Linked DNA regions of Macaca fascicularis. The protein of the gene in region 2 purifies or fractionates together with the protein of the main gene of each other region. This does not show direct contact. Links are inferred from orthologs where the notes say so. Each region holds a gene or a part of one and is shown on either strand. Other genes may lie near its edges. The genes, in order: EXOSC6, DIS3L, GIGYF2, EXOSC7, HBS1L, EXOSC8 and EXOSC5.

Region 1 (4,171 bases), on a different chromosome or scaffold from region 2:
AACCTGTAGTGGTGGGTTTAGCTTCTTTAGAGGTTGCATTTCGAGATGATGGTCCTGGGACTGACACGGTTAGGAGGTGGCCTGGGACTGCACCAGGTCGCCATCCTCATGAAGCTGAGGCTCTCTTGCAAGGGGCAGATGACAGCCCATCCCCACCCCACCCCCACCCCCACCCCCACCCCCCACCCCACCCCACCCCTCCCCTCCCCTCCCCTCCCCTCAGAGGGCACCCTCAGCCTTGTCTGAATGCAGACACAGCTGATCTTCACTCCCCTCCCGATACACCGCCAGTCAACAGATAGCCAGCAGATCTCCCTGAGTTTCCAATCTCCCTGAAACTGCTGGAATGTTCTCAGTGTGTACCCCACACAGCCCTCTTTGGGCTCCAGACTCCCCATCTACTCTAGGAAGTCACCCTTCAGAATTACATTATGTCCTCTCCCCACTGGTGTGATACTATTTCAGACCTGCTCTAGAAAGACACGTTATGTCAGAAGGGAAAAAATAAAATTTGTATTTTTCCTGGTCAGGGGTTCTGGGTGTGGCCCCAGAAACTCATTCTGGTCCTTGGGCTGACCCAGGTCGGCCCTTCCTAGAGAAGCTGAGTGCAGAGAGGGGACCAGGCCGCCTTCCAAATGGCAGTCACCTAGCTTCCTACCATGCAGTCTTGAGCCCAAACCAGCAGAGCTGGTAGCGACACAGGAAAGACCCCACCTCGTGGTGAGTCAGTCAGGTTGTACCTGGCCTTCCTAGCAGTGCACCTGCCCTCTGCGGTGCTGCTCAGGGTCTTCCTTGTAGGACCAGGGTGCCACTTCTCACCAGCAGTGGAGGCTCGGGTTGTGCCATTCTGCACATGGCCAAGGACAGATGGCTTCTACGCAGAGCAAAACCCTTTTCAGCTACCCAGCACCAAGCCAGGTTGGGGCACGAGGTGCACTCAGCGCACTTCTGGGGCCGTACTTTTTTTCCTCAGACGGAGTCTTGCTCTTGTTGCCCAGGCTGGAGTGCAATGGTGCGATCTCCACTCACCGCAACCTCCACCTCCCGGGTTCAAGCGATTCTCCTGCCTCAGCCTCCCGAGTAGCTAAGATTACAGGCATATGCCACCATTATTAGTGCTGGCTAATTTTGTATTTTTAGTAGAGACGGGGTTTCTCCATGTTGGTCAGGCTGATCTCGAACTTCCGACCTCAGGTGATCTCCCTGCCTTGGCCTCCCAAAGTGCTGGGATTACAGGTGTGAGCCGCCGGCCCGGCCAACTCTCCCTACTCTCGTCGTATCTCAGCAGTTCCCCTAACTCTGGTTCATGTGGGGGCAGCTGCTTCTCCAAATCACAGCGCTCCCCTCAGGCTCTGCAGCTCTTTTCAGCCCGTCTCCTGTTCACGTGGGCCTAAGGAACAGAACCCGTTTAAGGCAATGCCGCCGCGACCCTTGACACCTGGGATGCAAGAACAAAAGAGCCTTGCTCTCTTAAATCCCGGACCAAGAAGAACCACACCATAAGACGTTTTTCAAATATAAAAGGGTCTTTCTTTTGGCTCAGACACAGAAGGCACAGTCGTCTTGTCCATCCTCTGAAAAGTCGCCCAGTTATATCGGAGGGGGTCACTGGCTGGCCTGAATGACAGCAGCTCTAGGTACCAGCTTCCAGGTAAGTCCAGCTAAAGTTTCCAACTTGGGAGTCAGGATGCGCTCACAGGTTTCCTCAACTGGGTCGAAGCTAAGAGCCGGCTCAAGTAAAGTTCCTTTAACGAGGTTTGTAAAAACCCTTTCCAACACCACAGCTGTCCGGCGCCTTGGCTCTGCTAGAGCCTACCCAGGTGCTCTCCAGGGCTCCGGCTGCTTACCTCGACGCAGGCTGGAGGCCGACGGCGCGGGTCTTTTCAGGGACGGCGGCAGCACGGTCCTCGGCTTGCGTCCGTCGTTGCTCAGGCTTCTAGTTCAGGGCTGGGCGGCGGCGCCCCTGCGGCGCGCCGCCCGCACCAGGCTCTGCTGCAGCACGGGGTAGAGGCGCTGGCAGCCCTCGAGCCCCAGGCGTACGGCCTCCGCCCAGCTCTCGATCAGGCCGCCCTCGCCGCTGCCCAGCAGCCCGGCCACCTGATTCAGCACAGGCATGAGCGCCACGGTGAGGCCCGCGGCGGCGCGCTCTTCCTCTAGTCGCGTGGGGTCCAGCAGCCAAGTGGGCGCGGGCCCCGGCGCGAGGCTCAGGCCACAGCCCACCACCAGATCGTACATCTCAACGCCCGCGTCGGCCAGGGCGAGCGCGGCGGCGGTGAGCGCGGCGGCCAGGGCCGAGCCGCCGTCCTCCAGCAGCAACGCCGACACCTCGAGCTGCGCGCGCGGGTAGCGGCCCAGGCGCACGGCCGGCTCCAGTGCCTCCTGCAGCGCCAGCGCCAGCTCACGCTCCTCGCCGCCGCCCGGGGGAGCGCGGCGCCGGCGGCCCGCGAAGGGCGCGCGGCGGAAGTCGCACAGCAGGCGACCGCGCAGCGCGGCCGGGGCTTCGCCGCCAGATCCGGCCGGGCCGCCGCCGCGCTCGCCTCCCTCGGCCTGTCGCGGGCCCGACACTGCACACAGCACCTTTGTGCCTCCCGCCTCCAGGTAGGCCGAGCCTTTGGCCTGGCTCAGCAGCCCGGCGCGCGCGTACACGGGCCGCAGTCGCGTTGGGTCGCGGGCGGCGGGCGCCTCCTCCTCGTCGGCCGCGTACAGCTGCGGCGGCTGCGACTCTTCAGGGCCGCGGATGCGGCGGTGGTCCCCGGGCATGGCGGCTCCTGGCTTGAGAGCCGCTTCCGCCCAACGCACTGCCGCACCCACTGGTTCTTCCGTTGCTTAAAGACGCGCGCCTGCGTGAGGGCTGTCGGGAGAGTGACGGGCGACGCTACAGCGCCTGCTGGAGGCTCGGAGGGAGAACGGCCGGCGTCCCTGGCGCCCTGGTCCCACTTGTGCAGGGCTGCCTGATCCATCCCTCCTGCTGGAAGGCAGCGGGAGAGCAGCTCCAAGGCTTCTCTGCTTCCACTAACCCCATCTACTGAATTATGAACGCCTTGCTCCATGTCACCCTACCTATTTGGCCTCAACCTCCACAAACGTTTGAGGCAACCCCAGGGGCTTTTCCCAAAATTTAGGGTTCTGGGGCTGGACTAGGTGAACACTACAGCAGCCAGTAGAAGCCACAGCATTTATTCTACAGACAGCAGGGGCCAAGGGCTGTCAAAACAGCGAGCTCCACCTGGGAAGAGGGATAGAGATCATATAGCATTAAGTATTGCACGTGGTCCTTTTATTCTCTGCAGCAAAAAACGATTCGTCCTTGCTGACACGGAAAGCTCAGGCTGGAGAGCTGTTATCTACAGATGCGAGTGTGGTGATCAACAGCAATGCGGGGGTAGTGGTTCTCGACAGATGGCACTGATGTGGAGGGCTCAGGGCAGAAGTATAAGGGGCGCTGAGTCACAGGACTGCTCGTGAGGGTGTTCCAGGTACGGCCGGGGTAGGAGGGGCTCTCAAAAGGTCCCAGGATTCAAATGTTCTTGTAGCAGATGAAGAGCTCCCGGCTGGACAGATGGAGCCAGTAGAAGCCACCTCCTCCCCCGCTCAGTTCTTTACATCCCCGAGGCGCAGCTGGGCGAAGGAAGTGGCCAGCTGCAGCGCCTCCTGCAGGCAGCCAATGTTTTTGCCTGTGGCCTGTGCAGACACATCCTTGCCCCCACCTTTACCGTCCATCAGGCCTGACACCTGCTGTACCCACTCGCTGGCTTTTAAGCCCCGATTGGCTGCATTCTAGAAGAAAGAAAGGGAAGGGGGAAGTCAGGACAGAAAATGGGATTGAGGGAGGAGCCATCACCCACTCCTTTGCCCTGGGTGATACTGCTGGAGGCCGAGACAGACTTTACGGCTAGTGCAGGGGGCAGTCATGGCCCCTGCCAGGACAGGACAGAGTGGCAAAGCCAAGTATCAACCAGACAGATGCAACCAATGAGGAGGCCTAGGTAAGGGGTACTGGCAAAGGTGACCAACAGGCAGGCAGGAGACAGGCTCTTTTAAATGCAGGTTGTACACACACAGGCCTCAGCAAACAAGCTTAAGACCCAACACTTCCCACTGGTGCAAGGTGGTTCTGACCTGAGGGACTTGACACAGGCAAGTGATCTTGCCAGCCTCGTTGTCCACCGTG
Region 2 (3,500 bases):
TCTTTGGAACCCAGTGCTGTTTGCCTCTTGTTTGATGCCTCTAATTGACCCACTTAACTCCTGGTGCTCAGCTGTGTTTTATTTTTTCCTTTTGTGCAGGACTTCAGGGTGGTCGTGCGCATCGATTCTTGGGAGTCAACATCTGTGTATCCAAATGGACATTTTGTGCGTGTTTTAGGAAGAATTGGAGATCTGGAAGGCGAAATTGCAACCATCCTGGTGGAAAACAGTATTTCAGTCATCCCTTTCTCAGAAGCTCAGGTCGGGTTTTCCAGAAACCTTTGGTCTAGTGACATTTTCTTTTTTCTTTTGTTGTTGTTTCATCATTAAGAAAGAAAAGTCGCTGTGTTATGTAACAACCCACTGTGTTAAGCTACAGATAATGGAAAAATCTCACTCCTCTTTATTCTATATTTGGACCAAACTGAAGTCAGCTTTAAGTGTAGAATTAGTTTTCTATAGCCTCATAGCTCTCAAATTTTTATATTTTCCAACTGGGCTTAAAAATGATATGTCAGTGTCTTATAGTCAGTATACATCCGTCCCCAGCAACTACAAGGACACCTAGTTACAGACCCAACTGAGCTCCACACTCTCTGTCTAAATCATTCAACCAGAGGCTGCATAAAGCTGCAGGGGGTGGATTCCTGGGATTCATACATCTCCGACCCATGGGTCAAAAATTATGCTCACGATGAAACAGTTTTTGTGAACCTTTACAGAAAACAAAAATCCCATAAATGTAAAACATCAGCTATTTCCATCACTTCATGATCTTTTAAAACCCTCATAAATCTTGTGTATTATTCTTGCATGACTATATTCATCATGTGCACACGCTGATTTCTGTTCTGCTTCTTTCACTTAAAATTATTTTTATATATTGACATAGCCTACTTATTTTAATGATAATGGTAAATTATGGTATATTGACATACCCTAGTTTGCTTAAGCATTTCTCAATTGTTGAGCATTCAGCTGTTTAATTTTTCAGTATTATAAAAAAATGTAGGTCGGGGGCGGTGGCTCACGCCTGTAATCCCAGCACTTTGGGAGGCCAAGGCGGGTGAATCACCAGGTCAGGAGTTTGAGACCAGCCTGGCCAATATGATGAAAACCTGTCTCTACTAAAAACACACAAAAAAATTAGCTGGGCATAGAGGTGGGCACCTGTAATCCCAGCTACTCGAGAGTCTGAGGCAGGAGAATTGCTTGAACCCCGGAGGCGGAGGTTGCAGTGAGCCGAGATCGCGCCACTGTGCTCCAGCCCCGGCGATAGAGTGAGGCTCCGTCAAAAAAAAAAAAAAAAAAAAAAAAAGTTACTTCGAACATTTTTATAAACACTGCTTTTAATTTCTTTTTTTTTTTTTTTAGATGGAGTGTTGCTCTGTCACCCAGGCTGGAGTGCAGTGGCAAGATCTCGGCTCACTGCAACCTCTGCCTCCCGGGTTCAAGCAATTCTCCTGCCTCAGCCTCCCGAGTAGCTGGGACTACAGGCGCACACCACCACACCTGGCTAATTTTTTGTATTTTTAGTAGAGGTGGGGTTTCACCGTGTTAACCAGGATGGTCTCGATCTCCTGACCTCGTGATCCGCCCACCTCAACCTCCCAAAGTGCTGGGATTACAGGCCTGAGCCACCACGCCTGGCCTGCTTTTTAATATCTTTTTGATCATTCTCTTGGAATGTAATCCTTAAAGTGAGATTACCAAGTCAAAGGGTATAAAAGATTTAAATAACTTCTTATATGTACTAGCAGATTGTTCTCCAGAAAATTTGGACCCATTTGCATTGCCATAAGGAGTGTCTGGGTGTTCTTATTTTCATTATAGTTTTTCACAGAATAGGAGCTATCATAGTAAACTATTGTAGAATATTTTACATCATTAAATTTTTATATTTAACATTAGTTTCTGGAAATTATTTGTTGACTTGTTTGGCAGCTCTTAGTGAAAATGTTACAATAAAATAAAGTGTGAGCTATACATCATAGGACTAGAATTTTCTCTTCCCTTTTAGCCTACTTAACTGCAAATTGATGGCTTAAACAGATAATAATGGAGAGAAAATGCCCTAGATAGGTCTTGTATAAAATTATCTTTAAGGGGTAAGCTTTTAATATTTGGAACATGTTGATTATTTTTTCAAGTCTTAAATTTAAAGCTTGACTACATTTAAACGAATGGATCATTTGAAAATGGGCTACATGTTGTACTCTTGTTCCAAGCCTCTGTAACTAAAGAGACTGGTAGAAGTTGTGGGACATTTTCTGTCCAAATGTAAGGGTCCTCAGGGGTATGGGACTTTGTCTTTCTTGTTGACTCCTGACTTTCCAGAGCCCAGCACAGTACCCCGGATATCTGAGGCACCTAATAAACAATTATTGATCGAAGGAAGCCGACATAGGTTGATGCAGAAGGTAATTGAGAATGAATGAATTTCTCTGTGGTCGCATTGAGAATATCAGTGAGTGGATTTTTACAGAAATGTGTGGTGCATGAATTGCTGAATATTTGACCTCTCATACAGATGTGTGAGATGCCGGTAAACACACCAGAAAATCCCTGGAAAGTGAGTCGTGAAGAGGAACAAAAACGTAAAGACTTGAGGAAAAGCCATCTCGTATTCAGCATTGACCCCAAAGGTTGTGAAGATGTGGATGACACACTCTCAATCAGAACCTTAAATAATGGCAACCTGGAACTTGGGGTCCACATCGCAGATGTAACACACTTTGTGGCACCAAATTCTTATATTGATATTGAAGCTAGAACAAGGTAATGCTATTTGAAATCAGCTCTATGGTTGTATATATGTGACTGTGTATTTTGTGTCTGTACTAGTTTCAGGTGTTCAAAGATCTCATGTTTGTGTAATTCTGAAAGTCCCTTCTGGAAAAAAAAAAAAAGTTGAGGTCCACTCCCCATTTTCGTTTAGAAAAACAGTACCTTGATCAATTTACCTTTCCTTTTAACATAACCTTTTCACATATTGTTTCCTACTAAACTGAAATGGGTTAAATTTTCATGTAGTAATATACTATTTTATAAAAATGCTGGATCATTACACTCCAATTTTTCTTATGCAACAAAGATTCACTGTCACTTGCTCTTTCTTTCTCTTATCAGTGGAAGACTATTCAGCCCAAAGCAGTATCACTTAGAAAAATGGGACCATGGGAATAGTTTTATTACCCAGTCTGCTGCACTTTATGAAACAGCAACTACCTTGGGGAATCTGTAGTGAGATTTTGGCCATTTACCTCCCTGCGGCCCACACAGTCAGCAGTTCTGCTTCTCCCTGCTGAAGGTCGCGGTGCCGCGTGTGTGTCATTCACAGGGCCACCACTTATTATCTAGCAGATCGTCGCTATGACATGCTGCCTTCCGTCCTCAGTGCTGATTTGTGTTCCCTTCTGGGAGGCGTTGATAGGTGAGTTTATGGCTTTTGTCTTCAAAGCTTGTCCTGGCCCTTCTGTGGCTCCCGATGCTGCCTGCTT
Region 3 (3,500 bases), on a different chromosome or scaffold from region 2:
CCTTTACTTAGATTTTAATTTATTGGATCTGTTACATTGGTTCTCATTATTTATCTGCTTTTCAGATTTTAAAAAATCTGTTCTGTTTTCTTTGTCCTTATGGGTTTATGCTGTGTGTGTGTGTGTGTGTGTGTGTGTGTGTGTGTGTGTGTATAAATTGTCATTTTGGTGGAGGTTTTAGGAAGTAAACATGTGTTTTATTTCTATGCTTAACCAAAGGCCTACTTAATTTTTAAGAAGTAATTCTGGCCGGGTGCAGTGGCTCACGCCTGTAATCCCAGCACTTTGGGAGGCCAAGTTGGGTGGATTACGAGGTCAGGAGTTCGAGACCAGCCTGACCAACATGGTGAAACCCTGTCTCTACTAAAAATACAAAAATTAGCCAGGCATGGTGGCAGGTGCCTATAATCCCAACTACTCAGGAGGCCGAGGCAGGAGAATCACTTGAACCTGGGAAGTGGAGGTTACAGTGAGCTGAGATCGTGCCATTGCACTCCAGCCTGGGTGACAGAGTGAGGCCCTCTCTCCAAAATAAATAAATAAATAAAAAGGTAATTCTGAGGCCAGGCACGGTGGCTCATGCCTGTAATCCCAGCACTTTGGGAAGCCGAGGTGGGTGGATCGCTTGAGGCCAGGAGTTCAAGACCAGCCTGGCCAATACGGTGAAATCCCATCTCTACTAAAAATACAAAAAATTAACCGGGCATCGTAGCTTGAACCTGGGAGGCAGAGGTTGCAGTGGGCTGAGAGTGTGCCACTGCATTTCAGCCTGGGTGAAAGACTGAGACACCGTCTCAACAACAAAAAAAGAAGTAATTTTGCATTTGATGTTTTTATTCTCCTTTTTAATACTGTTAGCGATTTACATTTTTATTTGCAACAGCAGAATTTAATCCCATCAAGTTAATTTTATGTAGCTACTATGTGTTTGTATTCCATTTAGTATACTGGATATTTATAACTATTATCTAAAAACAAGAATCCTCAGCTAGGTTCTATTTTCATGCAACAGCAAAGGCGCCAGCAGAGGGAGTTGATGAAAGCTCTCCAGCAGCAGCAGCAGCAGCAACAGCAGAAACTGTCAGGTTGGGGGAATGTCAGCAAACCTTCAGGTACCACGAAATCTCTTCTGGAGATCCAGCAGGAAGAGGCCAGGCAAATGCAAAAGCAGCAGCAGCAGCAGCAGCAGCACCAGCAACCAAACAGAGCTCGTAACAATACGGTGTGTGCATTTTCCTAAGCTGTCGTTTTATGGACTAGTATTATCTTTTCTGACTGTCTTTTTATCTTTTTAACATGATTAACGATAATCATTTTTCTCTTTTTCTTTAACAGCATTCCAACCTGCACACCAGCATTGGGAATTCTGTTTGGGGCTCTATAAATACTGGTCCTCCTAACCAGTGGGCATCTGACCTAGTCAGTAGTATTTGGAGTAATGCTGACACTAAAAACTCCAACATGGGATTCTGGGATGATGCAGTTAAAGAGGTGGGACCTAGGAATTCAACAAATAAAAATAAAAACAACGCCAGTCTCAGGTAGGGCTCAAAATGACCACACCTATGCACCTTGGTTGGTTGGGAGGTGAGGATGGAGGAAGTTTGATGTTGGGTGGGCAGGAAAAGGTAGTTATTTAGTTTTTACTTACCGTTTTCATCTGTGTTCAAGCACATGCAGTCATAATTATGGTGATTGCTTTCTTCCCCATAGAAACATATTCGTATTATTTCTTGGGGCTCCTTCTGCTGAGCACTTATTCTATCGCCTAGCGCATGGTAACCACTTAATAAATATTAGGAATAGTATAATGTTTTTGTTGTGTTGTTGAACATTTCTCCAAGGTATTCTTTAGATACCTTAGCATTTTTCCTAAATTTGTATTTTTAAGTGATTCATACTATTAATATGAGTATTATAAAATACCTCTGTAATGACCTTAAACCTATTTATTTTTATAAGTTAGTTACATTTTCATCTTCATCTTTCTTTCCTCAGTATACAGTGTTGTTGAACGAGCATGGGTTTTAGTGTTAAATACATGAACTCAAATCCCAGCACTACCACTTATTAGCTGTGTGACCTTGGGCAAGAGGGAACCTCTTTGGGCCTCAGTTCCCTCATCGGTAAAATGAAGATAATAATAACAACTTTATGCATGTAATTGCAAAGATTAAATGAATACATGATAAGTAGTAAGTGCCTGGCACATAGTAACTACTTAATAAATGGTAGTGTTGTCAGATTGTTTCTTCTTGATTTAGGGCCTAACATATGAATATAGGACAATAAATTTTTGTTAGTTTATTGAGCATCTTTGCCAGGCACTGTGCTATAGGCCTTTTCATACAATATCTATTACTTATGATAACCCAAAAAAGTGTTAGTACCATTTTACAGATGAGGAGACTGAGGCTTAGTAAAATTAAACAACTTACCTAAGGACACATAGGAAGAATTTCATCCCTTTTTCTAAATAGATGCCCTTTATCCAGAAATTAAGATATATTAACTGAGACTAGATGTTAAGGGTATATCCAATCCAAATATTTGAATTTTTTTCTTTTTTGGAGCCAAGCATTGGATTACTGGACATCTATCCAATGTTGCCAAGACATTATTTATGGTGTTGTGCTATAATCATATAGTAACAGTTTCTGGGAATATAATATCGCCCTATTGTTTTGCTTTAGTAAATCTGTAGGTGTGTCTAACCGGCAGAATAAGAAAGTAGAAGAAGAAGAAAAGTTGCTGAAGCTCTTTCAGGGAGTAAATAAAGCCCAAGATGGATTTACCCAGTGGTGTGAACAGATGCTTCATGCCCTTAATACGGCAAATAACTTGGATGGTAAGAATTGGGGAGGGAAACCCGGCATGTGGAATGACAGAGCAGGACCCACAGAGAGGCTGGCAAATTTGAACAGTGGTCCAGAAGTCAAAAGATGAAATCTAAGGAGATCAACTCCTGCACCTGCCGTGGGAACTTGACTCTTTAATAGTATTACTTGTGAGAAAAGTTTAGTAATACTAAACTCAAATAGGTTATTGGTGGTTGTCAAAAATTAAATGCCATCTTAGACTGCCTTAATGATACACAGGACAGAGGAGGTCTTAGTTCCATACTGTTCATTTTATGGGGAACATTGCCAGCTATGTCAGGTTAAAAAAAAAGTAACTGTCATGCTGGAGACAAAGGTCAACCTGGACAGGTGATGGCTGAGGTGATGTGACATCATTCCCTTTCTACCTTTTGGGGAGGGAGTGGGAATTGTGATAAAGCAAGTACACTTATTTTGTGTGAGGTAAAACTAGGACCAACGTGCAGAAGTGAAAAGGCTTTGGCACAGTTTAGAGAAAAACTTGCTGATGGTTAGCTGTTTACAAACAGAACTGTCTCCCATCCCTGAATGTTTGAAGAGAGACTGGTCATGTCAGGATTCCCATAACTAACAGGCTGAGTTGATTAGTCCACCTCTGATACCCTGTCTAAAACCAAGAAA
Region 4 (3,500 bases), on a different chromosome or scaffold from region 2:
CTGCGGGGCTTCCAGGCCAGTGAGGTGACAGACATGTGGGGCAAACAGTACAGAAAACTATGGAAGTGCCCTGATGGCTCTGCCAGTGATGGGGGCAACCCACTCCTACTCCAGCGGGTCGGATTTCTCACCATCCCTGCTTGTCTCCATTTAAACACTTCTAGAGCAGTAATGAATTTGGCAGACAGCCACATTTCAGCCCCTGCTTCTATCTTTACTCGCCCACTTCAAGGGACAGGAAGCAGTGAGCCAAGAATTCTATTCCCTCATCAAGTTACAAAGGCCTGCGATTTTGGAGTTACGAGCGGCTCTTTACATTATCCAAGTCCAACGGTCTTATTTAGACACATAGAAATGAGATGGGGGCACTTACTGAGGATAAGAAATGGTTACTGGTAGGCTCCTTACCTCCCAGTCCAGAGTATCTACCCCCGCAACCCCCTTGATTAGGTCAGCAGACCCCTGGCTCAAACCAGCTGTTCTCCAACCTCCAGGTTTGGGGTCAAGGCTGTGAATGGGGAGAATCGCCATGGTGTGACCAAGGGAGCAGGAAGCAGCAGGCACCCAAGCCAGGTCCCCGCACCTTCCTCAGAACCAGGGCCTCACCTCCATCATCTCGAAGATGCTCTCTGGGTCCAGGCTGCCCTTCCCCACTTTCCTCATGCACGTCACAACTCCCTTGCTGGTCACCGATACCAGCAAGCTGGCCAGCGAGCAGGCCTCCTCCTGAAGAGTAGCATCCACCACATGCCGATAGCCAATCTGCAAAGGCAGGGCGCACAGCACACAGTGGGTCACGCAGGCCTCAGAGCCCCACCCTTCATGGCCTCGTGGTGGGAATCTCTACACCAGGCAAAGTACCCGCACTGGTCATTCCAGGTCTTATTTTAGATTCTGCTCATGAGGAAAATAGTTAAAGGAATGTTCAACAATTCTCACAGGCCACTGTGTGGGTGGTACAATAAAAACATGACATGGAAAAACAGGGCAAGGGGGTTTAAAACTAGAATTCAGAGACCATCCAAGGCAAAGGCCACTAGGGCTTTCCAACAGAGGGGCACAAGGGAGAAATTAATACACAAAGCCACATGGACGTTTCACTGATGGCAAGGGAAATCAAGAGGGTCCATGCTAAGGGACACACTCAAGAACAAGCCAAAGGCTGGGCGCAGTGGCTCATGCCTCCCAGCACTTTGGGAAGCTGAGGAAGATGGATTGCTTGAGCTCAGGAGTTTGAGACCAGCACAGGTAACATGGGCAAGACCCCATCTCCACCAAAAATACAAAAAAATAGCCAGATATGGTGGTGCGAGCCTGTGCTACCAGCTACTTGGGAGGCTGAGGTGGGAGGGTTGCTTGAGCTTGAGCCTGGGCAGGTGGGGGAGTTGCAGCAGAGGTTGCAGTGAGCCTAGATTGTGCTACTGCACTCCAGCCTGGGCAACAGAGCAAGATCCTGTTTCAAAACAAATAAACAAGAAAGAACAAGCCGGCTAGGTGTGGTGGCTCATGCCTGTAATCCCGGCACTTTGGGAGGCTGAGGTGGGCGGATCACCCAAGGTCAGGAGTTTGAGACCAGCCTGGTCAACACGGTGAAACACCGTCTCTACTAAAAATACAAAAATTAGCCAGGCATGATAGTGCGTGCCTGTAATCCCGGTACTTGGGAGGCTGAGGCAGGAGAATTGCTTGAACCTGAGAGGCAGAGGTTGCAGTGAACCGAGATCACACTATCGCATTCCAGCCTGGGTGTTGCAGCAAGACTGTCACAAAAAAAAAAAAAGAAAAAAAGAAAAGAAAGAAGCCAAGACCCAACATCCTGCTGTCTGAACACTTCACCACATTCTGTTCATGAAGTGATCTCAGTGGAATTAAACCTGACCTGTTTAGCTTTATTTTGAGATAATGAATCCTGAGTGGAATTAGCTACAATCCCAGCCAATAGCCAATACAGGCCTCTTTGCACAGCCTGGAGCAGCATTAGTTATATGTCACATCACCCTGATATTCAGCTCCACTGCCCTCTGTTCAGCTCCACAGCCCTCTATGTGAAAACCACTCCTGATACCCAAGACCTGCTCCAACCTCCCATTTCATAGGGTGGACAGTGTTCACCACCCTCCACTACTCAACCACCCTAGACCCCATAGAGTTGAGGGAATTAAAGGACATGGTGCTTTAGTGAAGTGCACGGTATGCGGAAGGAGCTTAACAAACTCTGGCTACTATTACTACAAACACACTCATGGCTCCAAGGATCACATTGTATCTTCCAATTAAAAAGAAAAGAAAGAGCTACTCATGGTAGTGGTTTCTAATATAACCAAATTATTGGATTTGGGTAAAAGCTACTTCTATATGGTATGTGATATTACAACTTCTTAACCTATTAAGTAACCTCAGCAGGTTGGCATTGGAGGAGACCCACACCCACAGGGAAGACAAAAAACATAAAACACAAGCTTATACCTTGCACAGAGTGACAATACAGGGGACATTCTCCACACTTAGTCGTATGCAGTCATAAGGGTCATCAGACAATTCGATGTCCTTCGACCCCTCTTCATCCTCCAGAACTCGAACTCTTGGTATGCTGGAAGCAGAAGCACAATTAAAATTCCCACTTACTGGGAGGAGAAAAAATAACTTCTTTTTAAGATTGAGAATAGGAGTTGGAATCCCTGTGTCTCACAAGAGAAAGATACACTATGCCTATTCTTTATCATCCTCATCCCTGTCATCCCTGTCAAAAGCACACAGGAGGCACCACAATGCAATGAGGAAAGGCATCTTTTAGAAAATGATGCTGGGTCAATCAGATATCCCAATGGAAAAAAAAAGAATCTCAATCCCTACCTCACACCACACACACAAAGCCATATGAAATAGACCATAGATATAAAAATGAAAGATAAGACAATAAAACTTTTAGAAAAAAACATCTACATGACCTTGGAGTAGATAACTATTTCTTGAACAGGATTCACAAAGGGAAAAAAGTTATATATTCAATTATATATGTGTATATATATTATATATATTTACTAACATATATCATTTATATTATATAAATATATATCATGAACTTCTTTATATCAGAAGACATTATTTAAAAACTAAAAATGTAATCTGGATGGAGAAAATACTATCTGACAGATTATATGAAGAATTCCTATTAAAAAAGACAGCCCGGCCGGGCGCGGTGGCTCACGCCTGTAATCCCAGCACTTTGGGAGGCCGAGGCGGGCGGATCACAAGGTCAGGAGATCGAGACCACGGTGAAACCCCGTCTCTACTAAAAATACAAAAAATTAGCCGGGCGCGGTTGTGGGCGCCTGTAGTCCCAGCTACTCGGGAGGCTGAGGCAGGAGAATGGCGTGAACCCGGGAGGCGGAGCTTGCAGTGAGCTGAGATCGGGCCACTGCACTCCAGCCTGGGCGGCAGAGCGAGACTCCGTCTCAAAAAAAAAAAAAAAAAAAAAAAAAAAGATAGCCCAATAGAAA
Region 5 (4,057 bases), on a different chromosome or scaffold from region 2:
TAAATTTGGATTACTCTTATTTCTTTCTATTGTGCATAGCAAAAAGCTGAGTAAGCTTTTAATTATCTCTAGAATTTGACATTTGCCTTTGATGTGAAGTATCATCATTTCAAAAACACAAGCTAAAACTGAAGTGGTTTGTTCAGTATAATGAGGTTGGTTTCTTATATAACATTATTAACTTTATGTTCTAAGAAATGAGGACATTTAATAGTGGGTTATAGATTCATGCATCAACAACATTCATCATTACTACCTAAGGCCAGTGCTATGTCTAAAAACCTATATTTAATACAATGTTACACACAATTATGTGTTCAATGAATGTTCAGTGAATCCTTCTTTATGATGCTAATAAATATCGTTTATATAGCTAAAATCGTTTACATAGCTAAGGGCAAATCGTTGTTTACTGGAGATACTAATGCCGAACGGAGTGAATACATGAAGTTGTAAATTATATGAAAGCAGGGTGACCTATTATAGCCAGAGTCTCAATTTAATAATATATACCCGTTTAAAAATAGCCTTATTTCCTCCTCTAAAGCTTGGACTCTTTTTTTTTTTTTTAAGATAAGTTCTCACTTTGTCGCCCAGGCTGGAATGGAGAGGCCCGATCTCAGCTCACTGCAGCCTCGACTGCCCGGGCTCAGAGGATCCCCCCACCCCAGCCTCTTCAGTAGCTGGGACTATAGGTCTGCATCACGGGGCCGGCTAGTGTTTGTATTTTTTGTAGAGACGGAGTCTCGCTATGTTGCTCAGGCTGGTCTCAAACACCTGGGTTTAAGCGATCCGCCCTCCTGGGCGTCCCAAAGTGCTGAGATTACAAGCAGGAGCCACCGCACCGGCCTGGGCTAAATCTGCTACCAAGTTTACACAAGTTTGTTGAATGCCTACTGTGTGCCTAATTAAAGATCAAAGTTTGATAAGACAAGGTCCCTGCTCTTACTGAGCACATAGCTTTCTCAGGTTATCAGAAACCACATTTGTAAAATAATCCAGAACGCTGGCGTAAGTAGGTCAAGGTTCCCCGCTTGCAACATTTAGTCCAAACCAGTCAGTTCTAGGAGGCGCGATTTCCCCATCCCCCTCCGTCGCCCAACCTTTGGGTGGGGCCACGCCCAAAGGCTCCCTCCCCTCTTCCCGCCGTGCGCAGCAGTGCGCATGCGCCCTCAGGGAGTCGAACAGTGACCCCCCCCCCCCAGGCTTTGCCGTCGCGCGGTGCACAGATAAGACGTCGCGCTTGCGCAGGCGCTCGGCGCAGAGGCTTGCGGGAAACCAAGATGGCGCATGGGGGTTCTCCAGGGCGCAGTTGGCACCTTATCAGTATCTAAGCGGAGTGTTTTGGAAGGAGTTAAGGGGCTGTGGCAAACGCCCTCTCCGCCGTCATGGCCCGGCATCGGAATGTTCGAGGCTATAACTACGATGAAGGTAGGAGGCAGGGTCATGCCGGGACGTTCTTTTGCGGTTACAGCTGGGATCCTAGCCCGTTGGCATCTACTTCAATCTGTGAGTTTCTCGTCAGTGGTGCCCTGTCGGAATTGGGAGAGCCCAGTTGGGGAATATTACAGGCCTTCTAGTGCCGCCGAATGCCGTCGTTTTAAAGTCATGATTTCTGCCCTCTGGTGTTGATTTTGTTTGGGGAGGGAGAGGTGCTGAATAGCGTCATATGGGTAGGACATTGGTGAGGTTGGGATCCGGTGATATTTAGTCACGTAAGCATTATCACCTCTTCCATTGTTTCCTCCCATGTCGGGCACTCACGTGCCTGCTTCTAGCTCCTCTCTTTCAGACCCCCTTTGAGAAATGTCCTTGAAACGTTGCTTATTTGTAAAACACAGATTGACTTAATGCTTACATTCAACAGACCTGTACCTGTGCTAGATTTACACGGTAAATCTTTTCTGTGTGTCCATACATACTTAGTGCAGAACCAGTTTGCGCTAATTTATTTTTCAACAAATTTCAAAGTGGAATCTTAGGAGACAGTAGAAAAGACACATATTAAAAAGGCCCAAATAATGAGTCGATCAGATGATCGTGAAGTTTATACTCAGTTCTTGGCTGGTAATGCTTGATGTAAATGTATTTTGAAATGTAAATAAACGGCGGTACTAGAAGAAAGAGTGTATGGGAAAGGACTTTTTGATATTAAAAAATGAAATAAAAGAAAAATGTCTATATGAATGTTCTGTAGGAGTTAACAGGAGTTAGAATTATTTTTAGGAGGAGCACATCCCTCTTCATGCAGTAGATAACTATAGGCATCACCAAGCATCACATAAACTAAAAATATAAACAAGTATGAACTAATGCAGAAGAAGAATAAAGACCTATGCTTTGCAAAGTGCAGAACATGTAATGCTTAATATGTTGGTGATTGTCGTTGGCACCCCAGTAGATTATTATGGAACATCAGTGTGCTCTAACTAGAGTGAGGGCAGCTAACACCCTGTTCTCCATTTGGAACCTGTGACTTCAGTCCGTCTAGAACATGTGAATTTTCTGGTGGTTACTTTAGAATAGAGGCCCTTTTAAATAAGTATTGCAATGGATGGTGTTGCATGTGGACCATTGTCACCTAAGAAATGACTTTAGACTGAGAGATATTTTTGCAAATATAAAGTACATGAATAGGCCTAATTATTATTCGTTTCTTTAATAGTTGTTTATCATTTCCTCAACCACCATTAAGTTAGTGCTTAGAGTACTGTTCTAAGCTTTGAGGACTGACGGTAAGATATTTGAGGGTAGTCTAAAAGGAGAAGATTATACCAGTTACAGATTATTAGAGTATGAAAAATGCTACAAAAGGTACTGAGAAAACGCTATGGGAGGGATACACAGATGAGAACACTTAATTCAGAATGGATTGGGGGGAGTAAGCAGGATTTCTATGTGAAGGAATGCTTCATGGAGGAGAGGTGGTTGGCCTCAGGGAGCACCTTGGCTACTTAAGGTCAGGTTGTCATGTTTCTTTGGAACAATTGGTGACATCATAACCAAGCTGTTCCTGTAACATTAAGGAGGTTCATCCCCTTTTCTTGTTTATAAAAGTTGTACTCATTATCAAGGTCCAGTTTATTTCTCTTCTTCCCAGTTAGGCTTTCTCTTGAATTCTCAGAATAATAATTTAAAAATTCTCTTAAGTAATACAACCTCATTAGAGAGAGTGTGTGTTCTAAAACCTATTGGTTTCTCTACTTAACTCCCACTTTGTTTTTCTCTGTAATTTATTTATTTATTTATTTTTTTTTTTAATTTTTTTTTTTTGAGACGGAGTCTCGCTCTGTCGCCCAGGCTGGAGTGCAGTGGCCAGATCTCAGCTCACTGCAAGCTCCGCCTCCCGGGTTCCCGCCATTCTCCTGCCTCAGCCTCCCGAGTAGCTGGGACCACAGGCACCGCCACCTCGCTCGGCTAATTTTTTGTGTTTTTAGTAGAGACGGGGTTTCGCCGTGTTAGCCAGGATGGTCTCGATCTCCTGACCTTGTGATCCGCCCGTCTTGGCCTCCCAAAGTGCTGGGATTACAGGCTTGAGCCACCGCGCCCGGCCTTTCTCTGTAATTTATATAATACTTTACATGACTGCCTCAGTCACTGATTTAAAAGTCCCAGGAAAGCAAAATCCATACTTTAAGTGGCTGACATAGTGTTCTTTACATGTAGTAAATATTCCATAATTTTGTTGATTGAGGAAACAAACTACGAAGATTGCAGGAAAGAATTCTCTTCATCTTTTTATGTGGTGGCACTTTAGGGTCAATTTCAGCATTGACAAGCTGACTTAGTAAAAAAAGAGTCTCATTATGTTTTTTTTTTTAAGAGACGGGATCACACTTTGTTGGCCAAGCTGCGGTGTGAGTGCAGTGGCATGATCATAGCTCTCTGTAACCTCCAACTCCTGGGCTCAAGCAGTCCTCCTGCCTCAGCCTCCAGAGTAGCTAGGTCTATAGGCATGTGCCCCATGGCTGGTTGATTTTTTTTATTTTAGTAGAGACAGCATCTGGCTGTATTGCCCAGGCTGGACTCAAATTCCTGGGCCCAAGTGAGATCCTGC
Region 6 (4,070 bases), on a different chromosome or scaffold from region 2:
CAACTAAGTGTTAAATAACACAGGGTGTATTGTAGTGAAAGAAGCACAGGCTTTGGAGTCAGATTTATGTCTCAAGTTTTACTTATGAGTCTTATGTACCTGGAGAGGTTACTGAACCTCATCTATAAAACAGGAGGTGGAGAAAAATAACAAATGATTGTTGTAGGGATTAAAGTGGATTATTCTGTAAAGTGCCTAAAAAGGTGTCTGGAACATAGCAGGTACTCAGTAAATGGTAGCCATTATTCCCTCAAATTTTTCTTTTCAACAATTTCAATTTTCCACACATTTACACAGATTACATGTCATCACTGGCTAAAAGGATGTCACCAAAAATCTGTTAATTTCTCAAATGATATAACCAAATGTTTTAAAAATTAAGGGTGGCTAAGATTTTTAAAGTTGTTTCATTTTGGTACATTTGACAAATGTTCAGTCATTAAACTTGGGTCATATTATTTAACACTCATAGTGAAAGCTCTTGGGAAATTAAATATTAAAAACTGACACCCAACTGTCAAATCAAGAGTGGAATTATAGGTGTATATTACAATCTAATAAAGAAAGCTAACTTTGTAACTCAAATCTCAATAGGACATATTTAGAGTTACCGCTTTAACTCCACAGATCACTGTAGTATTTCCCAACTTCACTAAAGCAGAACCATCTGCGGTACTAATTGAACCTGAAAAGATAAGCAAAGTGAAAAGTGCATGAAAGGAAAACAGCTACAAAATTATCTACATAATCATTAAAATTAAGTGTTTTAGCTTGCTGTGTATGATTATCTTGCTACCCCTCTCAGTTGCTTATGAATATTTCGTTAGAATAATTGATTTTTACATAACTATTTTAAATTAGTGTTTAAATAATTATTCACCTGTCCTTGAATTTGTGTTAATCATTTTTCATTCAGTTACAGGGCTTTTGTACAGATAAAAATCTCTTCACACAAAAAATCATCAAATTCTTTAGAAAAAGAGAATTTGGCTGAAAAACTGTTTAGGTGGTTCAGAGACTAAAACTTGGGAATATCATACAGTTGACAATGGAAAATACATCCTTACCTATGTTGACAGTTGTGGTTCTGAATTCACCAAGTTCTCTTCCATCAGGACGGCAGTTCTCTTTCTAAATAAATGTTTATATAAAAATAGATTATACCTATTACATATTTTACACATCTATCCCAAGTTTTACACACACCAGGGGAAACACATTAAATGTTACTTCAAATGGATTAAATTACTTGAAATGTATCTTTAAAAGCAGCCCATTGTTATCAAAAGGCAAAACATGTACATAACTTTTTACTCACCAGAAATCTCCTGTAATACTCCAGAGGTTCCACAGTTCTGAAACACGTGTTAAAAATATATCTGAGATAAACTGATGAATCTTAACATAAATCCAGAAATTGGCAAAGATCTTGAGTGTTGTGATGCAGCATACATCTCCACAACTTTTAACTAAAAGTAATTCTAGAAAGTAAAAATCCTTGCAGTAGCAATCACATTCAATTGCTGTCCTTAACTCTGCCATTAACGATTAGAAGATTGGCGTCTAAAAGCCCTTTGCGTGAGCTCTTTAAAAGCGGATTAATCTAGGTGTCAAAAGAATCTTGTCATTCTTGCTCTGAAACAAGGATCCTAGTGATCATGAATATCTTACTAGATAACTCAGGAAACAAAAAAGGTACATCTTTATTTTCACTGTAACTGAAATTTAGCATATTCTTCAATTATGACTGTAGGCAATAAACCATAGTAACATTAGCAGTACCTGCAACTTTAACAACCACAGAGACCACAGATGTCTTCATTTGTACCCTATAGCTATATAAGGTATGTTCAGGCTCACTGTTACTTTGAAATCCCAGCAGTTACTACTAGTCTCGCCACTAGATCTTGTTTAAGAAGGTTAATTTTAAAGCAAGTATATATACTACTATATCATGTCTTCGGAGTTTATACTTAGAGATAACTATTTCAACATAATGGATTTCCTTTGGAATCCTATTTATCCATTTTTTAGAAACTTTAAGAAAGTCCATTGGCTTCACACACAATAAAACCTTCCAAACAAGGCATGATCCTTTTAGAAATAAATGACGGGAGAGGGAGAAGCAGGCGGTATGTGGCTCTGATGCAACAATCTTGATTGACTGACTGACTGAGACAGAGTCTCAGTCTGTCGCCCAGGCTGGAGTGCAGTGGCGCGATCTCGGCTCACTACAAACTCTGCCTCCCGAGTTCAAGCGATTCTCCTGCCTCAGCCTCCTGAGTAGCTGGGATTACAGGCGCCCACCACCATGCCCGGCTAATTTTTACATTTTTATTAGGGACTGGGTTTCACCATGTAGATCAGGCTGGTCTCTAACTCCTGACCTCAGGTGATTCGCCCGCCTCGGCCTCCCAAAGTGCTGGGATTACAGGCGTGAACCACCGCGCCCGGCCACAATCTTTAAAAGAGTACAACTATGTCTCCTGGGACTGAACATTCACTACACACCACGCTCACGAGCGCTCGCAGCGGGCATGGAACTCTATAGAGTCCTTTCATCTCTCGTTTCATTGGGGGGAAGAAGCCCTTTCTTTTCACTATAACCACCTCCAGGTCCTCCCACTCGTCGCCTGCTTCGACGAGGAAGGAAATGGCACCCCAACGGGGTCGCCCTCCGGGTGAGAGAATCCCAGCTAAGAGTTAAAGGAAGCTGCCGTCCACCTGGGTACAAAACTCGACCCGCCACCTGAAAACACTCACTTGAACCCAGCCGCCATCTTCCCGCCCGCGCGTCTGCGCCTGCGCCGCTCCTCGCTTGCGCGCCTGTTCCGCCGCCGCACTTTCGACACGGTTGCCCGGGCCGCTCACGCCACAGGAAACGCCAAGGTGGGGACGCGACGAAAGGTCCCTGGCCCGCCTTCGCATCGACTTTCCCCTGCCCAGACGCCCTTCTAAGTTTCCTTGCCTTGGACGTATTTTGACGAATCTGCTGTTAAAGAAGGAGCCGGTGTCCGTCTTTATTAAAAAACTGGTGCTGTAACTCAGAATAAGGCCAACCGTTCAGAGATAACAGGGTTTCCAGCGAAGAATTAAGCAGTGCGTGTGGAGCGTTATTCCAATGTTTCTGCGTATTTTTTTTCCGCCTGTGACTTAGGCTGAGCCCTGGCCTTGCCTCTTCACGGTCAAGGGCTCCTTGCTCCAGCACATGAGAAACCTGAACTTTTTTTTTTTTTCTTTTTCTTTTTTGAGACGGAGTCTCGCTCTGTCGCCCAGGCTGGAGTGCAGTGGCGGGATCTCGGCTCACTGCAAGCTCCGCCTCCCGGGTTCACGCCATTCTCCTGCCTCAGCCTCCCGAGTAGCTGGGACTACAGGCGCCCGCCACCATGCCCGGCTCATTTTTTGTATTTTTAGTAGAGACGGGTTTCACCGTGTCAGCCAGGATGATCTCGATCTCCTGACCTCGTGATCCGCCCGTCTCGGCCTCCCAAAGTGCTGGGATTACAGGCGTGAGCCACCGCGCCCGGCCGAGAAACCCGAACTTTATTTGCGCTCATTGTCCCACCACGTTCTGCTCTGCATCAGCTTGTGTTGTAGACTGTGTAGTGCTCAAGGCTGCCATCTCCTTCCTAGGCGGGGTTACCAGATAAAATACAGTTAAATTCGAATATCTGATAAACACAGCATTTTTTTTAAGCATGAGTATGCCCCAAATAGAGCATGCAATTAGTTGTTGCCAGAACCTGGAGGGAGCTGGGAAGACTTTACAGATAGATAGTGGTGATGGTTGCACAGTATTGTGTATGTAATTAATGCCACTCACTATTGTAAAAACGATTAAAATGGCAACTTTTTGTTTTATTTTACCACAATTTATAGAAACTAGTGTAACCAGAAACCTTTAACTGGATGAGTTGTATGGTGACTATCTTAATAAGGCTGTTAAAAACATGATTAGTTTTTTTTGTCTGAAATTCAAATTAAGTAGACATCTTGCATATTTGCTAAACCTGGCGGCCTGCTACGGAACCTGGCGCGCCTCTCCACCGACTGGGCGCCGAGGGCACGAG
Region 7 (3,500 bases), on a different chromosome or scaffold from region 2:
CCTATCAAGCATGAAGCGCAGTCATTTTTTGTCTACACCACTCCTTCCCTATTTCCCCGGGTATAGCCCTCTGCCTTTCCTTTGTAGAACTGTACTCCATGCCCCTTATTCCAACCACGCGGTTCTGACAGGGGCTTTCAAGCTTAGTATTCCTGCCCCAAGGGGCTAGCCACAGTGCCACTCACTTATCTGGTGCCTCTCGGCCTCCCAGTCACCCTTCCATGCTCTGCCCCACAGGGGCTGGAAGCCAGCAAGCTGTATGTCCCAGACTCCCTTACCAGCTAGTTTCCAGCAGTAATGAGGTGGGAGAATGGAAGAAGAGCAGCACCCTGGTCCTCACTGACAATGGCAGGCGCTGATGGCCGTGGCTGTGTGACAGCCATGGAGGTGGGGTGGGTTCTGGACCTCAGTGGCCAGGGCAGAGGCAGGACATGCTATGTGCATGCAGAACCAATTGAGATGATGTCTCCAACATGACAGAGCAGGAGCTGGCTCACAGGTTCAGCCCAGGTCTGGGAGGGGTTTCTCATCTTTGGGTGTCACTCCTGGTTCCTTTTTCCTCCTCTAGCTCCTCCAACACTGTTGTTACAAAGTCCCTGCATTTAACTCCCTCCATCTGAAACTCTCCAAGTGGTTTCTGTCTTCTTGACTGGAGGGGACCATTATAGCACTGGGCAGAAAACTCAGAATAACCTGAGCTTAGGACACTGCACCTGAGCCAACGAGGAAAGCTCTCTTGTCTTCTTGTTTGCTTTTGAGCCTCTTAAGATGGAAATGGAACGTAAGGGGTCAGTCCCAGCCTCAGGAGAGATGCTGGCCGAGAGAATGAAGCTGACGTGGAGAGAAAGGCAGGGATGGGAAGTGAAGCAAGGACATCCTGATGCTGTTTAAAGTCCTGGTTTTATTTTTTTTTGAGATGGAGTTTCACTCTTTCACCCAGGCTGGAGTGAAGTGGCGCGATCTCAGCTCACTGCAACCTCCACCCTTTGGGTTCAAGTGATTCTCATGCCTCAGCCTCCCGAGTAGCTGGGATTACAGGCACGTGCCACCATGCCAAGCCAACCTTTGTATTTTTAGTAGAGATGGGGTTTCGCCATGTCGGCCAGGCTGGTCTCGAACTCCTGGCCTCAGGTGATCTCCCGCCTCAGACTCCCAAAATGCTGGGATTACAGGTGTAAGCCACCACACCCGGACATACATTTCCTTTCTAGTTTATTTATTTATATTTTGAGATGGAGTTTCACTCTTGTTGCCCAGGCCGGAGTGCAATGGCGCGATCTTGGCTCACCACAACCTCCACCTCCCGGATGCAGGTGATTCTCCTGCCTCAGACTCCTGAGTAGCTGAGATTACAGGCATGCACCACCACACCACACCTGGCTAATTTTGTATTTTTAGTAGAGACGGGGTTTCTCCATGTTGGTCAGGCTGGTCTTGAACTCCTGATCTCAGATGATCTGCCCACCTCGGCCTTCCAAAGTGCTGGGATTACAGGTGTGAGCCACCGCACCCGGCCCCACATTTCCTTTCTAATTAAGCAAGTTTGAGCTGGGTTTCTAGCACTTGCTGCTAAATGAACCACGACGATAAGAGCAGCCCTTGCTAAGTGGGATCGAGGTGGCATGAGCCTATTATCTGCAGAGAAGTGAGGCCTGGAGGAAGGGAGGGGGAGCTGTCTGGCCTCTGCCCTTCAGCCACCCCAATCTTCACACCTACCTTTTCTTGCTTGGATGTAGGATCCAGTACGAGAGTCCCATCAGAGTCTAGGGCGCAGGTGACCCCACAGAAGAGAGCCCGCATGGGCACACCTGCATCCACCAATGCCATGCAGGCGGCATTCAGACAACAGGCCAGGAGCTGAGCACCACAGGCAATGGTTAAGTTTCTTTTTTTTTTTTTTTTTTGGAGATGGAGTTTTGCTCTTGTTGCCCAGCCTGCAGTGCAATGGTGTGATCTCAGCTCACTGCAATCTCCACCTCCCGGGTTCAAGCGATTCTTCTGCCTCAGCCCCCTGAGTAGCTGGGATTACAGGCATGTACCACCACACCCGGCTAATCTTTGTATTCTTAGTAGAGACGGGGTATCACCATGTTGGCCAGGCTGGTCTCAAACTCCTGACCTCAGGTGATCCACCTGCCTCGGCCTCCCAAAGTGCTGGGATTACAGGCATGAGCCACTGTGCCCAGCCTAAGAAGTTTCTACCGTAGGCCTGGCCAGCAGAGCAGATCCATGCCTCCCCCGACCAGGCTGATGCCTGTGGCAGACATCACTAATCGGTCACAGAAGGGCAGTATGGCAAGAGTGCTTAAAAGTGGTCTGGGGATCAAGTAGCCCTGGGTTCCAGACCCAGTTTTGCTCTCTCAGCTGTGTGACTTTGAACAAATGACTTAGAGTCTCAATCTCCTCATCTGTTAGACGGGGAATATAATATTCAACAGGTATGTACTGAAGTACGTACCACACATTTGTTGGCAAGTAGGGTCAGAGAAGGGAAGAAACCTTCCAAAGTCACGTGGGGGAGGCACTGGCAAAGCCAGGCTCAAAACTTGGGTAGCAGCCACTCTGCGGTGACAGAGCTGGCAGGGCAATGGAGGAAGAGCCATCGCGCTGCTGCCTGCAGGGAGCTCAAAGTGGAAAGACAGCACAGGTTGGGAGTCAGCTGGCTCTGCCTCAGTTTCCATGTGTGTCTTCTCCAGGCGGAGCAGGCCACACAAAGGCCACAGCTTTAGAGTCAGCCGGTTCCAGTTCTGCTGCTGATCCTCCACCACTTCCTCTGGGCTTTACTTTCCCCTTCTGTAAAATGGGGTCACAATACTTTCTCTCTCTGCCCATCCATAAAATGTCTATCCAGTTCAGGGTCATGTTCCAGTAAAGCCTTCTACAGTGCCTAATTCTGGTCCTCAACCTCAACCTCCCTCACCTCAGACAGGGAGATCTTTCAAGGCCAAGCTTCTGACTCAGCCGCTGTCTGCTCAGGGCGCCCCCAGCACTGAGGGCCTGAAATCCACTGAGGTGCCGAGTAGAAGTGATTGCCAGCCGGGCACAGTAGCTCACGCCTGTAATCCCAGCACTTTGGGCGGCCAAGGTGGGCTGATCACTTGAGGTCAGGAGTTCGAGACCAGGCTGGTCAACACGGCAAAACCCCATCTCTACTAAAAATACAAAAATTAGCCTGCTGTGATGGCGGGCACCTGTAACTCCAGCTACTCAGGAGGCTAAAGCATGGGAATCGCTTGAGCCCGGGAGGCAGAGGTTGCAGTAAGCTGACACTGCACCACTGCACTCCAGCCTGGGCGACAGAGTGAGCCTGTCTCAAAAACAAACAAACAAAGAAAAAACCAAAAACACAAAAGTGATTGGCACAGGCTCTGGAGTCAGACGGGCCTGGGCTTGAGTCCCGCCTGTGCGGCCTTCCAGTTGTGTGACCTTGGGCAAGCCCCTTCCCCTCTCTGGGCCTCAGTTTTGTCACCTAAAACATGCGAACATAAGAACACTCATCT

What was found.
Region 1: the proteins of DIS3L (region 2) and EXOSC6 purify together in Homo sapiens (affinity purification with mass spectrometry; 3 studies listed by BioGRID and IntAct, with this or other methods). This does not show direct contact. The link is inferred for Macaca fascicularis from reciprocal best matches to the Homo sapiens genes DIS3L and EXOSC6.
Region 3: the proteins of DIS3L (region 2) and GIGYF2 purify together in Homo sapiens (affinity purification with mass spectrometry; 3 studies listed by BioGRID and IntAct, with this or other methods). This does not show direct contact. The link is inferred for Macaca fascicularis from reciprocal best matches to the Homo sapiens genes DIS3L and GIGYF2.
Region 4: the proteins of DIS3L (region 2) and EXOSC7 purify together in Homo sapiens (affinity purification with mass spectrometry; 3 studies listed by BioGRID and IntAct, counting the BioPlex papers as one, with this or other methods). This does not show direct contact. The link is inferred for Macaca fascicularis from reciprocal best matches to the Homo sapiens genes DIS3L and EXOSC7.
Region 5: the proteins of DIS3L (region 2) and HBS1L purify together in Homo sapiens (affinity purification with mass spectrometry; 5 studies listed by BioGRID and IntAct, with this or other methods). This does not show direct contact. The link is inferred for Macaca fascicularis from reciprocal best matches to the Homo sapiens genes DIS3L and HBS1L.
Region 6: the proteins of DIS3L (region 2) and EXOSC8 purify together in Homo sapiens (affinity purification with mass spectrometry; 4 studies listed by BioGRID and IntAct, counting the BioPlex papers as one, with this or other methods). This does not show direct contact. The link is inferred for Macaca fascicularis from reciprocal best matches to the Homo sapiens genes DIS3L and EXOSC8.
Region 7: the proteins of DIS3L (region 2) and EXOSC5 purify together in Homo sapiens (affinity purification with mass spectrometry; 5 studies listed by BioGRID and IntAct, with this or other methods). This does not show direct contact. The link is inferred for Macaca fascicularis from reciprocal best matches to the Homo sapiens genes DIS3L and EXOSC5.

The regions. Positions count from the first base shown.
Region 1 is NC_088394.1:70,113,775-70,117,945, reverse strand, and holds EXOSC6 (exosome complex component MTR3), read right to left. Parts: upstream 2,801-4,171; 5' UTR 2,761-2,800; coding exon 1,942-2,760; 3' UTR 491-1,941; downstream 1-490. Other genes in the region: AARS1 (alanine--tRNA ligase, cytoplasmic), read right to left, coding at 3,592-3,777, 4,120-4,171. UniProt on the Homo sapiens protein: Non-catalytic component of the RNA exosome complex which has 3'->5' exoribonuclease activity and participates in a multitude of cellular RNA processing and degradation events.
Region 2 is NC_088381.1:42,977,862-42,981,361, forward strand, and holds part of DIS3L (DIS3-like exonuclease 1), read left to right. Parts: intron 1-99; coding exon 100-261; intron 262-2,337; exon of another isoform or gene 2,338-2,411; coding exon of another isoform or gene 2,412-2,420; intron 2,421-2,530; coding exon 2,531-2,778; intron 2,779-3,129; exon of another isoform or gene 3,130-3,340; coding exon 3,341-3,433; intron 3,434-3,500. UniProt on the Homo sapiens protein: Catalytic component of the RNA exosome complex which has 3'->5' exoribonuclease activity and participates in a multitude of cellular RNA processing and degradation events.
Region 3 is NC_088386.1:128,766,799-128,770,298, forward strand, and holds part of GIGYF2 (GRB10-interacting GYF protein 2), read left to right. Parts: intron 1-1,012; coding exon 1,013-1,222; intron 1,223-1,335; coding exon 1,336-1,541; intron 1,542-2,693; coding exon 2,694-2,848; intron 2,849-3,500. UniProt on the Homo sapiens protein: Key component of the 4EHP-GYF2 complex, a multiprotein complex that acts as a repressor of translation initiation. In the 4EHP-GYF2 complex, acts as a factor that bridges EIF4E2 to ZFP36/TTP, linking translation repression with mRNA decay.
Region 4 is NC_088376.1:107,902,752-107,906,251, reverse strand, and holds part of EXOSC7 (exosome complex component RRP42), read right to left. Parts: intron 2,591-3,500; coding exon 2,467-2,590; intron 763-2,466; coding exon 607-762; intron 1-606. UniProt on the Homo sapiens protein: Non-catalytic component of the RNA exosome complex which has 3'->5' exoribonuclease activity and participates in a multitude of cellular RNA processing and degradation events.
Region 5 is NC_088378.1:39,077,030-39,081,086, reverse strand, and holds the start of HBS1L (HBS1-like protein), read left to right. Parts: upstream 1-1,257; 5' UTR 1,258-1,388; coding exon 1,389-1,431; intron 1,432-4,057. UniProt on the Homo sapiens protein: GTPase component of the Pelota-HBS1L complex, a complex that recognizes stalled ribosomes and triggers the No-Go Decay (NGD) pathway.
Region 6 is NC_088391.1:16,546,591-16,550,660, reverse strand, and holds the start of EXOSC8 (exosome complex component RRP43), read right to left. Parts: upstream 2,801-4,070; 5' UTR 2,781-2,800; coding exon 2,764-2,780; intron 1,356-2,763; coding exon 1,319-1,355; intron 1,132-1,318; coding exon 1,068-1,131; intron 686-1,067; coding exon 612-685; intron 1-611. UniProt on the Homo sapiens protein: Non-catalytic component of the RNA exosome complex which has 3'->5' exoribonuclease activity and participates in a multitude of cellular RNA processing and degradation events.
Region 7 is NC_088393.1:48,530,784-48,534,283, forward strand, and holds part of EXOSC5 (exosome complex component RRP46), read right to left. Parts: intron 1,858-3,500; coding exon 1,717-1,857; intron 2-1,716; coding exon 1-1. UniProt on the Homo sapiens protein: Non-catalytic component of the RNA exosome complex which has 3'->5' exoribonuclease activity and participates in a multitude of cellular RNA processing and degradation events.